Saccharomyces cerevisiae S288C: one gene and its partners. Each later gene encodes a partner of the first gene's protein in a complex. Each region holds a gene or a part of one and is shown on either strand. Other genes may lie near its edges. The genes, in order: PRP6, SMD3, SMD2 and SMD1.

Region 1 (6,831 bases):
TTGATTCAAACATTCACAGCAGAGTAGCTTATACGCTTATCAACTCATCTTTCCTCTGATTAAAAAGAGACTCTGGCTTGCTTTGTAATATTATTTATTTTGGCTCAAAGTTTTTACTTAATTTCCTCCATTATTGCTCTATTCGGAAATTTTTAATAACTCTCAAATGCTTAAAGATCGCCCATGTTACTTGAGTTTTTAATTTAAATAGTTCACCTTACTTGAATGTTCTATTGGGTAAAATAGAATGATTTGAAGATGGCAAATACTAAAAATATCATAGCGCTTCATCTTGATTACCATTATTCCGGTGCTTTTATGATATTGCGTATCAACTTCATTTAAAGAAAAACCTCATTTCAGCTGAAAGTAAAAGTATTGAGTACTCTACTGGCAGTAGCTGGATAATTGAAAACTTACGAAGTGCCGCCACAACAGCTTTTTTTTTATTTTCGACAGTAAACCAAAAGAATAGAAACGCCTATAGTTAGTATATATGTGTTTGTATATTTCTTAATACTTATTAAACTCATCTAACCCACGTTGGTAGCCTTGATCCCATTCCCACATAAATTCGCTATCTTTTTTGGCAGAAACGTATTCAGCTCTTCTTTGCGACTTCCATGAATGCCATCTACCAATTAATGAATTGTCAAATTTCCTAAAGGCAATTATATCATCAACAGCTGTCTTTATGCCATCCTCAAACCTCCAGTGTTCAAAATTTTTACCTTTACCGTTCCAATAAGCCTCGTGTTCATGGATTATTGAATCTATTTTCTTCTTGTCGACTTGTAAGTCATCACCGTGAGGACGTTTTGGTAAATTTCCTTTCTGCATCATGGGAGCTAAGCCCCATTCACCTCCATCACCGTATTCAAACTGCAAAGTCCAAAAAAACCAACCCCAACTAGCTACATGAGAAAATACATCTGCTTGGGTTTGTACGTATTTTTGAACAATAGCGTCTCTGTCGCCAGAAGTTTTATTCCAAGTTTGTCCATCAAGAACACCAGAAAATTCACCAACAGTATAATCGGCATCTTCATGAGGAAAATTCACAGTATTTGGCAAATCCTTGATAATGGAATTGGCATCCTTCGACTTATCAGAATCAGAAAAACAGCGGTAGACATGAGAATCAATGACCACTATTTCACTAAAATGTTTTTCTTTAACCCAGTCTGCCCATTGTTGGGGCCACCAACCATCGGATATTATGACAGGTAAACCTGGTTGAAGTTTTTCAACGGTATTAATGGCTTCTGAATAATAGAATTTTTGGCCCTTTGGGTTATTATCAAAACATGCCTCATTAACCACTTGAATACCAATGATGTTTTCGTTGCCCAGAGTCATTGTGTTAATAATTGCAGGTAAAATATCTTTGTAGACTTTGGTCATGTACTTTTCCTTGTGGAAAAACGCAGCTTCACCACTCTTCGAGCCACTGTGTGAGTCGCAATTAGCGCCTCCTGGTAGACCATGCAAATCTATCAATACACCAATGCTCATTTTCTTGGCATTATTGATTAATTCGCCAAGTTTTTCCCAAGGTTTGGCTAACTCATAAACTTTTCTCAATGGGGCAAATGGAAGCGAATCTAAATGCTTCCCATCTTCGACATGCCAATATCCAATTGGAATACGTAACGCTGTAATATGGGCATCTTTAGATAGCCATTCCCAGTCAATTCGATCAATGTACTTTTTATAGTGATCGCTTAACATTTTCGCAACGTCTTCAGAAGAATGCTTCTTCAATTGTTGGGAAATAGCATCAAATTCGCTATCATATTCTTTCCCATCGATTGTACAAATGGTTTCTTTAGAAAAAATCCATGGTTCGAGCACAAATAACGCACCCAAGTTTACACCATAATTGTAACGGTACTTGTAGATAGTTGATCTATCAAGGTCCTTTGCAGGGGGTAGTTTCGGTAGTGTTGTAGATAAATTTTGACCTCCCTTTTCAGAAACTTTGAAATGCTCAAATTTGTTTCTAAGTGAGCCAATCATTCTGTGCAGTTCAAAAGTTTTAATAAATTTTATAGATGGATAGAGAGTCTTTTTTAAAGCAACTCTTCCCAACAGAGTTCGAATTGAAGAAAAGAAAGTTATGTCTTAGTTCATCCATCCCCCCTAATTCCCTTCTTTTAAGCATTTTTTAAGCCATGATGGCAGAGAAAATGTATATTAAAAAAATATTACTGAAGGATGCGAGGTTCGAACTCGCGCGGACAACCGTCCAACAGATCTTAAGTCTGCCGCCTTAGACCACTCGGCCAACCCTCCGTATAAATGAATAGTTATTTTCAATAACCACACTTATATTAATTGTATTAATTGCAGCACTCTTTCTTTAGTAGCTCCTCCGGAGACCTTTATGAAATGATGGCGTTTCTTCTTTTAATAAATAATGTAACGAAAGTATTTTTAAAAGTCTTCTTTACCGTTGATAGAACCTTGGGCTAATTTAACCAGTACATTTATAGTGTGTCAGATTGTTCTATTAAGCAAAAAAAAACGAAAAATTTCAGAAAATATACGGGTGAGTTGACATAAAGAGTTTAACAGCAAGAAAACGTCACATTTTATGGAGAGGCCATCTTTTTTGGATCAAGAACCACCTGCAGGTTACGTACCAGGTATTGGTCGTGGAGCCACTGGATTTTCAACAAAAGAAAAGCAAGTGGTTAGTAATGATGACAAAGGAAGAAGAATACCGAAAAGGTACCGTGAAAATTTGAACAACCATCTTCAAAGCCAACCGAAAGATGATGAAGATGATGAAGCTGCAAATGTATTCAAAACGCTTGAATTGAAATTAGCACAAAAGAAAAAGAAAAGAGCTAATGAAAAGGATGATGACAATTCAGTTGATTCTTCAAACGTGAAACGGCAATTTGCCGATTTGAAAGAATCATTAGCTGCTGTAACGGAGAGTGAGTGGATGGATATTCCGGATGCCACAGATTTTACAAGAAGAAACAAGAGAAATAGAATTCAAGAGCAATTAAACAGAAAAACTTATGCTGCACCGGATTCGCTAATACCTGGGAATGTTGATTTAAATAAATTAACGGAAGAACGAGAAAAATTATTGCAATCTCAAATAGATGAGAATCTTGCACAATTAACGAAGAATGCAAGTAACCCTATACAGGTTAATAAACCGAACGCTGCTACCGATGCCCTAAGTTACTTAAAGGACTTAGAAAACGATAGAGTAAATTCTCTCTCAGACGCAACGTTAGAAGATTTACAGAAAATGCGCACAATTTTAAAGTCATACAGAAAGGCCGATCCAACAAATCCACAGGGTTGGATAGCTTCTGCCAGATTAGAAGAAAAGGCAAGAAAATTTTCAGTAGCAAAAAAAATAATAGAAAATGGTTGCCAAGAGTGCCCTCGAAGCTCCGATATTTGGCTAGAAAACATTAGACTACACGAATCTGATGTTCACTACTGTAAAACATTAGTGGCAACGGCAATAAATTTTAATCCAACGTCTCCGCTTCTTTGGTTCAAAGCTATTGATTTGGAAAGCACAACGGTTAACAAATATAGAGTAGTGAGAAAAGCACTGCAAGAGATTCCTCGAGATGAGGGCCTATGGAAGCTAGCTGTCAGTTTTGAAGCTGACAAAGCGCAAGTTATAAAAATGTTAGAGAAAGCCACACAATTTATTCCACAAAGTATGGATCTCTTGACTGCATATACTAATTTGCAAAGCTATCATAATGCTAAAATGACTTTGAATTCCTTCAGAAAAATCCTTCCGCAAGAACCGGAAATTTGGATTATCTCTACACTCTTGGAAGAACGAAATAACCCAGATATACCTGTAGATAAACTAGTTAGTTTGCTCAAGGAGGGTTTATTGGAACTCTCTAAAAATGGGTACAAAGCGACCTTGTCAGCATGGTTGAAACGTGCAGAGGCTCTAAATGATGCGCCCAATTCAAATTTAACCTGTCAAGCCATCGTTTACGCTATATTAGAATGGTTAAGAGAAAGTGGCGAGTATGAGTCTGAGTTGAATAATGTTGATCAGATATTAGAAAAAATGCCACACTCAAAGGTACAAATTGCTGTCTTAAAAAAGCTTATTCAGTGGGATCCTTGTGATACAGTTCTTTGGTCTAGACTGAAAATGGCCACTGAAAGCTACCATAAAATTGAAGAGTTATTAGCATTTTTCCAGGAGCTGCTATTTCAGACCAAGAATAGTGATGATATACGAGCAAATATGAGGGAGAAAAGCCCTGGCTTGTTAATGATGTATGTAAGCGAATATTGGAAGGCCCAAAAAGGGGATACTAGGCAAACACTAGTTTTGATTGACCAGATTATAGATTTCGCCCCGCATAATTTGGATTTACGCTTTTTCAAGATAAAGTTATTAGGTCGTTCACTACAACTTGATGAATTACGAGATTTTTTTCAGCAAACTTTCTCCTCTTTAGAGGATTTTAAGATCAGTGGCACGGAAAGATTATATTATAAATACGTAAACTTTCTGCGGTACCAAGATCTGAATGAAGAGGCTATAAAATTCTTGAATGAGAGATGTTTGAAATCATTTCCCATCTGCCACAAATTTTTTTTACAGCTGGGTCAAATTTATCATTCCATGGGCAATATTGAAATGAGTAGAGAAACCTATTTGTCTGGTACAAGGTTAGTGCCCAATTGCCCTTTATTATGGGTTTCCCTATCAAAGATTGACGAGATTGATCTAAAAAATCCAGTAAGGGCAAGATCAATTTTAGATAGAGGATTGTTAAAAAATCCTGACGATGTATTATTTTACATTGCTAAAATCCAAATGGAAATAAGACTTGGTAACTTAGATCAGGCGGAGTTACTCGTCACACAGGCATTGCAAAAGTTTCCAAGCAATGCTTTACTTTGGGTGGAGCAAATCAAGCTGTTTAAGCATGGAAACAAAAGTTCGTTAAAAAAAACAATTTTTCAAGATGCTTTAAGAAGGACACAAAACGATCATCGCGTTCTTTTGGAGATTGGAGTATCCTTTTATGCAGAAGCGCAATATGAAACATCATTAAAATGGTTAGAAAGAGCTCTGAAAAAGTGCTCGCGTTACGGAGATACATGGGTTTGGCTATTTAGGACATATGCAAGGTTAGGCAAGGATACTGTTGATCTCTACAATATGTTCGATCAATGTGAGCCTACTTACGGACCCGAATGGATAGCCGCCTCCAAGAACGTAAAAATGCAATACTGCACACCTAGAGAGATTTTATTGCGCTTGATGAATGACAAATAAAGTAATTCTATCTTGCGTTGTTTTCTACTTAGCCTGCGCGTATATTTATATGTATGTATGTATGTATACACATAATTGATAGAAGCGATGCTCAAAAAAAAAGTTAAAGAAAAGAATTAGATTTAATTAAGATTATAAGTAGTGCTTCATAGGTATTAAGACAACAAATGGTCTTTCTTACAAACGTAAAAATTTGAAGCAAAATGATGTATGTGTTTAAGGAATTTATTCGTATTTTTTTAATGAAAAAAAAATTTAAAAACAGTGCATATTTATTTGTGGCCTTTGGTCGCTACAATCCAATCCCATCTTCTTTCATGTATTAACACTTCATCGTTGCGCGTTATAATGCAGAAGATAAAAAAAGGATCGAAGTGTTTCTTTTCCAGCGAAGTTTCGGTCTCAAATAATAATACGTCAGGAAAAAGAAGGAAAAAAACATTGCTACATCAGCAGATCAAAGCATTTACTCAGAGTCGGTGGCTACATCCTCCTCCTCTTCTTGGGCTTTCTTGGCCTTCTTGGCCTTCTTAGCCTTCTTAGCCTTCTTCTTGTCCTTCTTGTGCTTCTTCTTTAGCTTTAACTTCTCCTTGATACTAGAGTCAGAATCAGATGACTTGAAAGAAGCTGGAGATGGCATCTTCTTTTCAGCAACTGGACCAACATGTTCAGCGGGTTCTTCGTCGAAGATTAAACCTAATCTTTCAATCCCCAAATAGTTAGCCAATGGCATGAAAAGAACTGGCAAGATAGATAGGATCAACAAATCAATAATACCATAGAAAATGGTAGCAGAATCTGGTTGCAAAACGTTACCACCATCTGTGATACCAAAACAGGTTGGGTAAGCAATCAGCCACAAAAACATGATGACACTCATGAAAGTAATGAAAACGTTAGAGACATCCTTACCTCTGGCCTTGACCAGGTTGAATGTAGTTGTCATCAAACTAATACAAACAACAATGGCAGCACCAATACCAATGGTGTAGTAACCCCATTTGTAAGTAGAGTGGACACAGGCAGCAATCAACCAGCAGACAGTAAATATTTCAGTCATACCAACATTGAAAGCAATTTGCCATAATGGAGTACCACCAAGTAGAGACATTTGAATAATTGGCCATGGGAAAGCCAAAAACCAGCCAACGTATCTAGCGTAAAAAATTTGTCTGTAACCTGGGTGCTCCTTTTGGGTAGAAGTTTGTACATGGTTGTACTTTGCTCTGACTGGGATCCAACCCAAGTTAGAAGCCATGGTGAAATAAGCAATTGACATGAACAAATTTGGAGCAATGGCCGTATAATATACGAATCTGTCCTTAACTGGTTTTCTAAACATTAGTGGGACTAAAATCACACCGAATAGTAGGTTAACACAAAAAACGGTGAAAAGCCAGTCTGAACCACGAGATGTAATGTGGAAATCAGCACCGGTTGGTGGATTAATTTTGATGGCTTCGTTACCACCTCTTTTCAATAGTTCAACATAATCAGACATTTTGATGCTTTTTTTAAAAAATAGTGTCACTTTA
Region 2 (4,322 bases), on another chromosome or scaffold:
ATCTTTAATTCAATATCATTCAATTGTTTCATAAAATTCCAAATAATCCAACTCGACAAGACGACTTGAGTTGATTTCCAGGGAACGTTATCCAACTGTTTTATCAATATTACGTTCAAATCGTTGTAATCTTTTATTTGGAGAAAATTCAATGCGATTTCCCCAAAGTGTGACAAGTCCTTCATGCTTCCCAAAGTTTGAGCCGCGGAATGAAAATCTTTAGCAGTGTGGAAAAGGTACATTGCCTTTGAAAGTTTTACAGATTCTATTTCCCTCACCGTCAAGCCTTTCAACGATAGGGCCTTGTCAAATTTGTTATCCCGAACTAATAAATTCCATACCGAATTAGGCTCATTTTCGATAATAATTTCAAAGACGTTGATGTTTGAGAAACACCAAAACGTTTCTTTCACCGAATCTCTTACTAGGCCTAAAAATTTCTCATTACTATCAGTGTTGGAGCCAGTCAACTGGTGTCTCGGTATAGTTTCATGAAACACTACGTCGTTATTTAATTGACTCACCATTGTTACCGTATTTTTTCTCAAAAGCAGGATGTGGAAAGCAGTCAAAACTATATCCTTGATGAGGTGATCTTTATCATTCTGGTAGTCAGGCAGTTCGAAATTGAGTAGAACCTTCGACGAAGATAGGAATTTTCCAAAATTATTAGAAGCAGGATCTTTTTCCATTTGCTTTTCTTTTAAATCACCAAAGACAATTCCATTGGATGTGACCCAAGCAAAGAGTCCATTGTACGAATCGAATTTCTTTATCGCATGATGTTTTAACCTTTCAAATTGCTCAGATTCATCTGGTAATACTAAAGGAAATTTCATATTTGTCACGTCTCTCCAGTATAAAATGTTGTCTTTTATAGTTAATAGCAGAGAGCCCTCCCAATACGCAATGCCATCAATTCCACCAGAGAGTTTCTTGTTTTCATACCATAGCTTCGTGGTTATATCCTTTCCTGTCAATTCAACTCGGTACAACTTGGGCGTCTTCTTGATTCCCATCAGAAAGGTGGTTTCGTTGATCCAATGTAGCGAGCTGAGGTCGAGATTTTTTATTTTGTTCAATTGAGTGAATTCGCCATCCTTTAGCAACATATACCGGCCAAAGTTGGTTCGAATAAGAATGACACTACCCATTGGTGAAACATGAACATTCATTATAGTTTCTAGTTCCTTGCTTAATGGACAGTCAAAGTGATTGACGATGGCCGGATCTTGTAAATTTATTCTGTAAATTGTCCGTTGTGTCGTTACTATAAGTTGATCATTGGAGACTTTCAAATGCGTAAGTTCGGTATTCCCTGTGAGGAATTGTAACTGAACTTCCTCTATACGTGTTTTTATCATTATATCCCTATATTTCTCTTTTTACTTCTTGGTACCTTATAGTTTTTACTTTTCTAGGGATGGCAGCTTCTTATTTCTTTCGTTCTATAGATTTGATATTTTTGAAATCGTTAAAAAATTCTTATAAGAGCAATACGAAGAGAATCAGAAAGCGCTGCGAGGCACGTATCAGAAACAATGACTATGAATGGAATACCAGTGAAATTATTAAATGAGGCACAGGGACATATCGTTTCTCTGGAGCTAACAACGGGAGCGACTTATCGTGGTAAACTTGTTGAAAGCGAAGATAGCATGAACGTACAGCTAAGAGATGTAATAGCTACAGAGCCCCAGGGGGCTGTAACACACATGGATCAAATATTCGTACGTGGGTCACAGATCAAATTTATCGTTGTTCCAGATCTCTTAAAGAATGCACCATTATTCAAAAAAAACTCATCAAGACCTATGCCACCAATAAGAGGACCTAAGAGAAGGTGATAATAGGAAACGTGACGGCAGAAACGCATTCATCATTGTAGGGGGAATATATATATATATTAATATTGTTTATGTAAAATATATTTGAATATAAATTTATCAGTTCGCACTGTTCGTGGTTGAATCCGCTGTTGTAGATGATTCCTTTATTTGTTCAAACTCGTTAAGATCGCAGCGAATTTGAGAATTCGTATCCCGCAACTGAGCAAATAACTGTTGTATTTCATTTTGCAACATCCGGGCATGCTCTACTGACGCTGTAGTCTTTTTTTTCTCTTCAGTGTCCATGGCTACTTCGAGCTTCTCTTTATTGCTAGATCCTTTTTAAGGTTATCTCAAAATTTTTCAAGTTGCTGCTGATTTTAGTTAAAAATAAAATATCAAAACGCCGATGAGACAGGCAGGATAAAGTGACAGATTCAGTTATACATTATGGTTAATAATTCACAGCATCCTTACATCAAAGATGGATGGTTTAGAGAGATTAATGATAAAAGTTTTCCGGGCCAGGCCTTTACTATGACCGTGGACTCAATACTTTATGAAGCCCGCAGTGAATTTCAGGACATCTTAATCTTCCGTAACAAGGTATACGGTACTGTTTTGGTCCTCGATGGTATTGTCCAATGTACGGAATTTGATGAGTTTGCCTATCAAGAGATGATCACCCACATTGCCATGTTTGCGCATTCTAATCCCAAGCGTGTACTTATCATTGGCGGTGGGGACGGAGGTGTCTTAAGGGAAGTAGCCAAGCACAGCTGTGTAGAAGATATCACTATGGTAGAAATTGACTCATCAGTGATCGAATTATCCCGTAAGTTCTTGCCCACATTGAGTAATGGTGCTTTCGATGACGAAAGGTTGGACTTGAAACTTTGCGATGGCTTCAAGTTCTTACAAGATATAGGTGCTTCCGACGTCCATAAGAAATTTGACGTCATTATTACAGATAGTTCTGATCCTGAAGGTCCAGCTGAAGCGTTTTTTCAAGAGAGGTATTTCGAACTATTGAAAGATGCTTTAAATCCTAATGGCGTTGTTATTATGCAAAGCTCTGAAAATTTTTGGTTAAATTTAAAATACTTACATGATTTGAAAAATACAGCCAAAAAGGTATTTCCTAATACAGAATATTGCTATACCATGGTTCCAACCTATACATCTGGCCAATTAGGTTTAATTGTTTGCAGTAATAACGCCAATATACCGTTGAACATTCCGCAAAGAAAGATATCTGAGCAAGAACAAGGGAAGCTGAAGTACTATAATCCTCAAATACATTCTAGTGCGTTTGTTTTGCCTACTTGGGCAGACAAGGTCATTAATGAATGATTTATTAGCATTGATATTATTATTTTAAAAAGTCTATTTACTTGTATATTTATCCGAATATGCCATCAATGGCTGATTTGTTCTTCTTTTTCCTTTTCTTTTTCTTCTTACAGTTCTCTGTCAGAGGCTTTGGTATAGACGTTATCACTAGTTCGTTTTCTTGAACGTTGTTGCCAATATCTTCATCTATAATTTCTCCAAGTTCTTCGACATCGTTCACAACCGATTTTGCTTTTGTTCTCGGTAAGTTCTTTATTAAGCATCCACATCTTATAAACTCAGTTTCATTAATCTCCCATAATCTCATATACAGTGCCCTCACATTTGCCAGCAATGTTACTAGTGTACAACCCAACGTTACAAATTGTCCCAGCGCAATTACGCCATTGAACTGCCAGTACCATCTCTTTAACTGTCTAAAAAGTGCTCTCTGTAATAGCCTGTGCAACTTGACCCATTCAACATCTTTAAGGCGTTTGGCTTGTAATCTTCTCGAGCTAAAAAGCGTTATTATTTGTCCACAATTTCTTTTCATCTCATTGAACGATCCATACCAGCTAGCCGCTCTATGTTGATTTTTGTTCCTATGGTTCAAGAGCAATATTAACCGATATTCTTGCTCCAGAGATCGTATCACATTATCCATCTCATCCATTTTGTTTCTGCTCTTTTTTTTTTTGTGGATATATCATTCTAGTACTCATTTCTTTGAAGTTTTTTTCTTGGAACCATAAATAAAATTCATGAATTTCTGAAAAGTGCTAGTATCATAAAAACAAAAATAAATAAATACGAGAAGTAAAAAGATGTGTTACAGTAGGCAAGCCATTCCTCCACCTGTTCCTAATAGACCTGGCGGTACTACCAATAGAGGACCTCCTCCCTTACCACCTCGCGCAAATGTTCAGCCACCAGTTTGTTCTTCTGAGAACTCCAGTAAACCTCGAGAAAATAGGGTGGCAGGTGAATCACTGCGCACACCAAGCAGTTCTAACCCTTTAGCTGACAGCCAGGTGAATAGTGACAATATTTTTCAATCACCTGTCCTTTCTAACTTAAAAGCTCCTCCTTCCGTCTTCAACAAAGTTCAACACCCGGTACCAAAGCCGAATATTGATGATCAATCTGTTGATCCATTGG
Region 3 (4,425 bases), on another chromosome or scaffold:
TCACCTATTGCGGTATATACATCTGGTAAGGGATCTTCTGCAGCTGGGTTAACTGCCAGTGTACAAAGAGATCCGATGACAAGAGAATTTTATTTGGAAGGTGGTGCTATGGTGCTTGCCGATGGTGGTGTTGTATGCATCGATGAATTCGATAAAATGAGAGATGAAGATAGAGTGGCCATTCATGAAGCTATGGAGCAGCAAACAATCTCCATCGCAAAAGCTGGTATCACTACAGTGCTAAATTCTAGAACTAGTGTTTTAGCGGCTGCTAATCCGATATACGGCCGGTATGATGATTTGAAGTCTCCTGGTGACAACATTGATTTCCAAACTACTATTTTATCCCGTTTTGATATGATTTTTATTGTTAAGGATGACCATAATGAAGAACGTGATATTTCAATAGCTAACCACGTTATTAATATTCATACAGGAAATGCTAATGCTATGCAAAACCAACAAGAGGAAAATGGCAGTGAAATTAGTATTGAAAAGATGAAACGTTACATTACGTATTGTAGATTGAAATGTGCACCAAGACTTTCACCGCAGGCCGCTGAAAAACTGTCATCGAACTTCGTCACCATTAGGAAGCAATTATTAATCAACGAATTAGAGTCAACGGAAAGGTCGTCTATTCCAATTACCATTCGTCAATTAGAAGCTATTATTAGAATAACAGAATCATTAGCCAAGTTAGAATTAAGTCCTATTGCACAGGAGAGACATGTTGACGAAGCTATTAGATTGTTTCAAGCTTCCACAATGGACGCAGCGTCTCAGGATCCAATTGGCGGCTTAAATCAAGCAAGCGGAACATCTTTGTCAGAAATCCGTCGTTTTGAACAAGAACTAAAAAGAAGATTACCTATAGGCTGGTCTACTTCTTATCAAACTTTGAGGAGAGAATTTGTAGATACACATAGATTTTCTCAATTAGCACTGGATAAGGCCTTATATGCCCTAGAGAAGCATGAAACAATTCAATTGAGACACCAGGGACAGAATATTTACAGAAGTGGTGTATGACAACAATAAAGTCTTAGCTTGACGCCTTTTCTACTTGTTTGCATGTAATGAATCTAAAAAATTCGCTACAAATACTTCATTATTATATTTCTATATAAATTCTGTAAACGAAATTATACTTTTTGAGGTTTCATCTGCGTCTCATATTCTTTTTGTATAATAAACGCACAGACTTGATATGACCGTCAATCAAAATAATTCAAAGCTTCTTAAAAAAGAAATTGAAATCAAAGACATACGAAAGAAATTAGAAAATAGAGGTCGATTTACCACTGAACAATCCTACAGTACATGAGCTCTTGAAGTGACTTTATGGGGACCAATTTGTCCTATCGTGATATTACTACGGGTAATACTACCAAATGAAAATTATCTTACTCAAAAGGTATGACAAGAACATCATCACTAGAACATCATCATTCTTAATAGCAAGCGCCATCACGTTTGCCCCGCCTTTGACAGTTGATTAGAGGAGTATTATAAAACCGTTTTATCATGTCGTATGTTTGATCTTAACCATTTTTACATCCTATAATTTGGAGTGAATTTTTATATACTAACTTAAAAGTAATTGATTTGTATCTTTCCAGTTCACAAATAATTGATCGTCCAAAACATGAACTCTCTAGAGCAGAATTAGAGGAACTAGAAGAATTTGAATTCAAACATGGTCCAATGTCCCTGATAAATGATGCTATGGTGACAAGAACACCTGTGATAATCTCATTAAGAAACAATCATAAAATAATAGCGAGAGTGAAAGCTTTCGACAGGCATTGTAATATGGTTTTAGAAAATGTGAAGGAGCTTTGGACAGAGAAGAAGGGCAAAAATGTAATTAATCGGGAAAGATTCATAAGTAAACTATTCTTAAGAGGTGATTCAGTTATCGTTGTGTTAAAAACCCCTGTTGAGTAAAAAGTAAGACAAGCAGCCCTCAATCAACAAGGAAAGCAAATCATCGTAAGAAACTTTACAGTCAGCGGAAAGCCTTTTTTTATTTTGGAAGTAAGACCAATTATTATTGGCTGATTTTCTAGCTCTTGCGAAAGTATTATATTCAAGAAAACGAATAAAGCATCTATATTATCACATTTAACTAAAGAGCATTTTTAATAAGTAGATTTTTACATAAAATATAGAATAAATATCAATATTATTAATCATTTGAAGTTCTTCAACGGGTCTACTTTACCATTCTTTGGCTTACTGACTCTTCCCTTTTTATGTGAATGGCGCTTCTTAGCATTGTGGAAAGGAACAAACTTGACTTTGGTTCCATTTCCTCTGGCTGATTCAGGAAGCAAGTAATCTGGAACACGCTTTAAATGCTGTTGCACTCTTGCTGGATGTAATTCTTTATCGTGTCTTAAACTTTGTAGCTCTTTTGGATTCTCCTCAAAATGTCTTTTCAACTTCTCACTTGCCAATAGTTCTTGTTTCAACTCTTTGACCCTAGCTTCTCTAATGGCAACTTGAGTAACAGCACGGAAACCGTCTTCCATTCTGTAACGGAACGCCTCGACCTGCTTTTGATCGAATTTGTAAGGCTGTAATTCTAATCCAAGTTTGCTCTGTTGTTTGATGATTCGTGAAAGAATCCTTTCATCCTTCTTTGCTGTCTGTAGCATTGATGGCTTATGCTTACCAAATTCTTTCAGTGGGACTACGAATGAAATTGCAGTACCGGTCTTTCCGCCACGAGCAGTTCTACCTACTCTATGCACGTAGGACTTAGCCGTCGTAGGTAAATCGAAATTGAGGACACATGCAACATTTTTGAAATCAACACCACGAGAAACACCATATTCCTTATCTTTCTTCACTTGGACCTTCTTTTTCTTGCTTGGTTTCTTATCGTTCTCAGGCTCGCCTTCCAAGCTTTTTTCTTCTTGATTTTCTGTATTGTGCCCTTCTTCTATTTCGTCATCTTCCTCTTTTATGTACTCGGTGTCATCTGTGGCAATCAATAGTTGGTAAACGTTTTTATTGAATTGGTCAACAATATGTTGCCTCGAATTAACGGGTAGCTCGCTGTTTAAAATACAGGACTTGATACCAAATTGTTCCATAACTAGCTTGAGCCTATATCCTCTGTCAATATTATTTACAAAAATTAATGTTTTACCCTTGATTAAGTTAAGTTTAAAAATGACATAGCATAGTAAGAATTTGTCAAATTCACTGACTTTAACGTAATATTGAAGTAATTTGTTTTGGTTCTTATTTATTTCCTCGTCATTGAATTTAAGAATAGCTGGAGAACGACAAAATTTTTGTTTCAAAGCCTGTATATCGTCATTTAGGGTTGCACTCATCAAAAATGTTTGTAAATTTTTTTTCAATGGTAAGTACTCTCCAATTTTGTTTAAATCATCTTGATAACCAAATGTTAACACTAAATCCACCTCATCAACTACTAAAAATTTTAGTTCGTTCAATGAGATAGAATTAATCTTTGTTTGCAACAAATCCAATAATTTACCAGGTGTACCAACTATGATTTCTGGTTGATCCATAAGTAGAGTGCTCAAAACTGAGTCAGACATATCGGATGATATGTTCAGAGTTCTTATATCTTTTGAACAATATAAGACTAGTTTTTCTAAAACATTATATACTTGTTGAGCCAGTTCTCTTGTTGGAACAAGTATAATACCTAGTGTACCATTTTCCTCTCCGTTATCAATTGTTTTTTTATATTCTAGGATAGTTTCAATTACAGGAATGAGGTATGCCAAAGTTTTTCCGGAACCTGTAGCGGCCTTTGCTATAATATCTCTCTTCTGTTGTAAAGCCAAAGGAATAGCATGTGATTGAATTAATGTTGGGTACTGAAATCCTATATTCTTAATAGCTTGTAATAAACGAGAGTCGAGATGAAATGCTTCGAACGTTGTAGAATCGTCAATATAAGCGCCTTCCACAGACTTTTTCTCATAGCTCATTTTTTTGATCTTTCGTTGCAGTTTTGGCTTAGTCTATTTCTTTTGTGAGATAAATTGTAGATTGACTATAACTATCAGCCAAAACAAAAGGCTCTTACTCAATGAAAGAAATTAGAAGAATCGAAATGAAATGAGATGAGATGAGATGAGATGAGATGGTCTAGAAGAGTTATTCTTTATGTTCGTGAAAAAAAATTTTTAAAATTTCATCTCTAGGTTTCATTACGTAAAGAGTGATTAAGGTAAACAATAAAAGGCAGTTCTAACCAGATTTTGGTTTGGTATTACTTCTATAAAGTAGTCTACTTAGTATGCGTAACTGTTTTTAACATAGCGGTGTGACCAAATTACCACCAATATTTAAGAGGCTTTCCACCCTACCTTTCAAAGGATTTGAATTACATTCTAAAATTTTCATATTGTTGAAGTCAATCTTAGCAGTGCT
Region 4 (4,897 bases), on another chromosome or scaffold:
GCAAAGTTATAGAAATCACCGATTTTTGTAAGCCAGGGTATTTCGAATACAAATTGTTGAGCTGTTCCTGCCAGACACTAATATCTATATCCGTTGTTTTACGTACAAAAATAGATAATGGTAAACCCTTCGAAACTTTGTTGGTATTATCGAACAGTTGCAAAGAAAATAATGATCTTTTTCCAGCCAGTTCTGTAAAATTTACAGAAATAAGATGGGATAAGTCCAAGTTAGACAATTGTGCCCGAATTTCCCTAGAATATTTCAAGTAAAGAGGTTGATTTGATTCCTTACTATCGGATAAATGGATAGTAAAGGGTAATTGTGTATCATTCCTTGATATAGACCTTCTGATCAACTCATCAATTGATTTTGACAACCCTATAATTGACTCCTCTATTATATTGGTAGTTAAAGGAGGGATCCTATGAAATTTTGATAAAAGAGATTTAAAGGACACATTCTCAAAGAAGTTCAGCGGTAAATTTTCTGAGGCTATGACTATGGCTACTAATTGGGAAATAGAAAGGTAATTACTGCTCTGTAATTTTCCTATGTCAAAGCATTTGAAACTTTGGTCGGAATTGAAGGTTAACGAATCATAGCCGTGTCTACGTGTAATTTCTGTGCTGGAAGTATTGTTTTTGAGATTGGAGTCTCCTACTGTGAAATTCATGGAATAGAAGTTTTTATTGGCACTTATATTATGCTTTGTTTTCAAGTGAGATCTAAAGGTTTTTGTCAAACTTGCATCGCTTCTTGTTAGTATCTCTCCACAATGTTTACATTTAACTTTCGTTAATTTCTTTTCAATTGCTAGAAAATGGGACCAGAACTTTGCTATATTCTTCTTGAGCATTTGAACCGGAATCCATATATTTAACCCATCATTTATGATTTCGTCTTCCGGATGAATTCTACTTGATAGGATTTTATTGCCGTCTTTTTCTATAAGTTCTATATCCTCAGTATCGTCTTCTTCCTCGTCTTCCTCCTCATGACTAGTAGAGTGAGAAGATGAATGATCAGAATTATTGATGATTTCGTTATCTTCTAAAGTCACCAAATCCCCATGTAAATCATCCAATGCAGTGTTCATATTAATGATTGAGTAGATTGGTACATATGCTATTTCGGAAGACTTTTGTTATTCTATGGTTTATCATCCCTTTATTTATTTTGTGTATTGTTTGCTGATCAAAAGTTGAAAATTTTTCGCCTAAAAAGTAAGATACAAAAGAAAATATTGTCGATGATTATTGCATGAATATATCAGCAAAGAGGAAAGGAAAACCTACTGAGGGACTTACATTTCTGCTGAAATATATAGTAATCTATCATGAGCAATGTGGCTGGGGAATTGAAGAATAGTGAGGGGAAAAAGAAAGGCAGGGGAAATAGGTATCATAACAAGAACAGAGGAAAAAGTAAGAATGAGACGGTAGATCCTAAAAAGAATGAGAATAAGGTTAATAATGCTACTAATGCTACCCACAACAATAGCAAAGGCAGAAGGAATAACAAGAAAAGGAACAGAGAGTATTATAACTATAAAAGAAAGGCTAGATTGGGTAAATCAACCGAGAATGAAGGATTTAAGCTTGTTATTAGATTGCTACCTCCAAATTTGACTGCAGATGAATTTTTTGCCATCTTACGAGATAATAATAACGATGATGGTGATAAGCAAGATATCCAGGGTAAACTCAAGTACAGTGACTGGTGTTTTTTTGAAGGTCATTATTCTAGTAAAGTATTCAAAAACTCGACATATTCTCGGTGCAATTTCTTGTTCGACAACTTATCAGACTTGGAAAAATGCGCAAATTTCATTAAAACTTGTAAATTCATTGATAATAAGGATAATATTACAATTCCAGATATGAAACTGTCGCCCTACGTAAAGAAATTCACTCAAACATCAAAAAAGGATGCCGCGCTAGTAGGAACAATTGAAGAAGACGAAATTTTTAAAACATTTATGAATTCAATGAAACAGCTGAATGAAAATGACGAGTACTCATTCCAAGATTTTAGCGTATTGAAATCTTTAGAAAAAGAATTCTCAAAAAGCATAGAGTTAGAAAATAAAATAGCAGAAAGAACAGAAAGGGTGTTAACAGAGCTGGTTGGAACTGGTGATAAGGTCAAGAATAAGAACAAAAAGAAGAAAAATAAAAACGCCAAAAAGAAATTCAAAGAAGAGGAAGCATCCGCTAAGATACCAAAGAAAAAACGGAACAGAGGCAAGAAGAAGCGTGAAAATCGTGAAAAAAGCACCATTTCTAAGACCAAGAACAGTAATGTGGTTATTATTGAGGAAGCGGGTAAAGAGGTTTTGAAACAAAGGAAGAAGAAAATGCTTTTGCAAGAGAAGTTAAAAATATCAAACTCCTCTCAGCCTCAGTCATCATCCGCTCAAACCCAGCCGTCGTTCCAACCTAAAGAAAACCTTTTCGTACCACGGGTAAAAATTTTGCATCGTGATGATACCAAGAAGTAGTAAAAGCTCATGGCTTCTTATATATTATATATGGAATACATTTATAATAAAATAATAAGAATTATATATTTTATGATTATATTATTACATAAAGTATTCCCCATTATAAATTCTGAGTTTCGTATTTAATGATTTTTCAATGAATATTTAAAATAATAAAATATATGAAATGTTCATATACAATGAAATTGTCATGAAGAAAGATGACTCCAAGTATCGTTTATAAATCGTCGAGAAAAAGATTATGAAGTTGGTTAACTTTTTAAAAAAGCTGCGCAATGAGCAGGTTACCATAGAACTAAAAAACGGTACCACCGTTTGGGGTACACTGCAGTCGGTATCACCACAAATGAATGCTATCTTAACTGACGTGAAGTTGACCCTACCACAACCCCGACTAAATAAATTGAACAGTAATGGTATTGCGATGGCTAGTCTGTACTTGACTGGAGGACAGCAACCTACTGCAAGTGACAACATAGCAAGTTTGCAATACATAAACATTAGAGGCAATACCATAAGACAGATAATCTTACCTGATTCCTTGAACCTGGATTCACTTTTGGTTGACCAAAAGCAACTTAATTCCCTAAGAAGATCGGGTCAAATTGCAAATGACCCCAGCAAAAAGAGAAGGCGCGATTTTGGTGCACCAGCGAATAAAAGGCCAAGAAGAGGTCTATGATTCGCTGCTGGTGTCGTTGTCATCTTCACTGTCACCATTACTTTCGCTTTCGCTAGAACTACTCTCTTCATCAGAGTTGTATATTTTATTCCATTGACATTTCCCTAATGGAATACCCCAGATATGGTCCTGTGTGGCCAACCAATCGACTAATTCATCAATGTGTATTATACAAAGTTCTTCGTTATAGGAGTGAGCAAAGCAGTCTACTTGTAGTGGGAAACTTTTTAGTTTGAAATAATGCTGTGAATATTTGTATAATTGTACTTTAAATAACTTTATCAAATCATTTTCATCATCATCGTTTTTGTTATTGCCATTCAAATAATAATACTGTAACCGCGCATAAACCAGAAGCAAAGCAATAATATATTTCGAGTCAAAACCGTTCTCATTTTTTACATTCAATAAGAAGTTCAACTGCTGGAAATTCGGTCTGATTTCGATTAACTTCATTAAGATGCATTTAAACTCAATGCCACCGAGAACCATCATGTGTAAATGACCATTTTGACCTTTTATGGTACCAAATGCGCCAATCATAACTTTCAAAAGCTCTACCATTGTATTGCCTCTCAAAGATTCGTTGCTTAGATTTACTTTATAGTACATTGAATTATGAATTTTATCTCTTGTCAACCGAGGAATAACAAGTGACACTGACTGGTTATTCAGTTGTTTTGGAGAGATGTTAGACTCCACTTGAAATTCATTGACAGCCATTGTAGTCCTTGTTCTTTACCCACGTTTTGTTTTTGTTCTTGCGTTTTTACTGCCACTGAAAATATAGCGTTGTAATGGCTTTAGATTTTACTTTTTTTTATCATAATTCTTGTTCAGAACGTTCGTTATTGATATCACAAAATTATTTACATGATTAGACATTAAAAACATAAAACAGTACACATAGGGTTTACTATTCTAAACTATAGTTATCTTCTCTCTTATTCTTCAGAACCAGCCTATACTTTGGTTTTTTTTCATTTTTTCTACTCTCTTGGCATACTTCGAACCCTTCTTGGAAGCAATCAACTCATCTACCTTCTTTAAAGCTTCTTCACGTTTTTTTAGCTTTTCGTTTAATTTCAATTCATGCTTATGACCCTTGGGCAAGAGAACACCTTTCATGAGGGTCTTTTTATTGTATTTCTCCTCGAAGAAAAGTTTCTTAGTGTTTTCGATCGGTGGTAAAAACTCTTCTACTCCATAACGCAGTGCCAACTTATATACGTCACTCATTCTTCTAAGTGAATATTTCGGATCATGAAATCGTTGTGTGACCGGATGTTTATTTGGCAGGAAAGGATTGGCATTAATGGCTTTAGTAGATGTAGACACTGGAGAATACTTGATTGAAGGGGGGTATCTTTGGAAAAAGGACTTCAATTTCAAAGGCAAACTATCAAAATACTGTTTGTATGACATGGAGTTTAGTTTAATGCACTAGTTGGTTTTCCTATTCTGTATAAATGGTTCACTTTATTTCGTATTTCACTTGCTCTTCCACTTTCACTTGTATCCCAGTCATTTTTTTTTTTTGTTTGAGAAAAAAGGAATATAAAAAGGCGCTACTATAAAGTACTTAATGATACTATAATTTAGAAGATTGACTTGATAAGACCGTTGTGTACCACCAGTCGATGGCTAGGGAGGATTCTAGACTCGAAACCATTTCCCACAATTGTTGAAGTAGCTTTTTGTTATGTGTA

The links.
Region 2: PRP6 (region 1) and SMD3 share a complex: the UniProt entries of both Saccharomyces cerevisiae proteins name them as parts of the U4/U6-U5 tri-snRNP complex.
Region 3: PRP6 (region 1) and SMD2 share a complex: the UniProt entries of both Saccharomyces cerevisiae proteins name them as parts of the U4/U6-U5 tri-snRNP complex.
Region 4: PRP6 (region 1) and SMD1 share a complex: the UniProt entries of both Saccharomyces cerevisiae proteins name them as parts of the U4/U6-U5 tri-snRNP complex.

Annotation. Positions count from the first base shown.
Region 1 is NC_001134.8:343,067-349,897, reverse strand, and holds PRP6 (U4/U6-U5 snRNP complex subunit PRP6), read left to right. Parts: upstream 1-2,596; coding exon 2,597-5,296; downstream 5,297-6,831. Other genes in the region: MRX18 (17-beta-hydroxysteroid dehydrogenase-like protein), read right to left, coding at 514-2,019; YRO2 (Yro2p), read right to left, coding at 5,763-6,797. UniProt on the Saccharomyces cerevisiae protein: Participates in pre-mRNA splicing. Part of the U4/U5/U6 tri-snRNP complex, one of the building blocks of the spliceosome.
Region 2 is NC_001144.5:431,683-436,004, reverse strand, and holds SMD3 (mRNA splicing protein SMD3), read left to right. Parts: upstream 1-1,541; coding exon 1,542-1,847; downstream 1,848-4,322. Other genes in the region: tethering complex subunit PEP3, read right to left, coding at 1-1,364; YLR146W-A (uncharacterized protein), read right to left, coding at 1,947-2,135; SPE4 (spermine synthase), read left to right, coding at 2,280-3,182; RMP1 (Rmp1p), read right to left, coding at 3,232-3,837; ACF2 (endo-1,3(4)-beta-glucanase), read left to right, coding at 3,989-4,322. UniProt on the Saccharomyces cerevisiae protein: Plays a role in pre-mRNA splicing as a core component of the spliceosomal U1, U2, U4 and U5 small nuclear ribonucleoproteins (snRNPs), the building blocks of the spliceosome. Also binds telomerase RNA and is required for its accumulation.
Region 3 is NC_001144.5:692,851-697,275, forward strand, and holds SMD2 (mRNA splicing protein SMD2), read left to right. Parts: upstream 1-1,527; coding exon 1,528-1,532; intron 1,533-1,622; coding exon 1,623-1,950; downstream 1,951-4,425. Other genes in the region: MCM DNA helicase complex subunit MCM5, read left to right, coding at 1-1,032; DBP9 (ATP-dependent DNA/RNA helicase), read right to left, coding at 2,196-3,980; cleavage polyadenylation factor subunit YSH1, read right to left, coding at 4,306-4,425. UniProt on the Saccharomyces cerevisiae protein: Plays a role in pre-mRNA splicing as a core component of the spliceosomal U1, U2, U4 and U5 small nuclear ribonucleoproteins (snRNPs), the building blocks of the spliceosome.
Region 4 is NC_001139.9:632,965-637,861, forward strand, and holds SMD1 (mRNA splicing protein SMD1), read left to right. Parts: upstream 1-2,747; coding exon 2,748-3,188; downstream 3,189-4,897. Other genes in the region: ENV11 (Env11p), read right to left, coding at 1-1,099; UPF3 (Upf3p), read left to right, coding at 1,340-2,503; U4/U6-U5 snRNP complex subunit PRP38, read right to left, coding at 3,183-3,911; mitochondrial 54S ribosomal protein mL59 MRPL25, read right to left, coding at 4,140-4,613; PEX8 (Pex8p), read right to left, coding at 4,780-4,897. UniProt on the Saccharomyces cerevisiae protein: lays a role in pre-mRNA splicing as a core component of the spliceosomal U1, U2, U4 and U5 small nuclear ribonucleoproteins (snRNPs), the building blocks of the spliceosome. Also binds telomerase RNA and is required for its accumulation.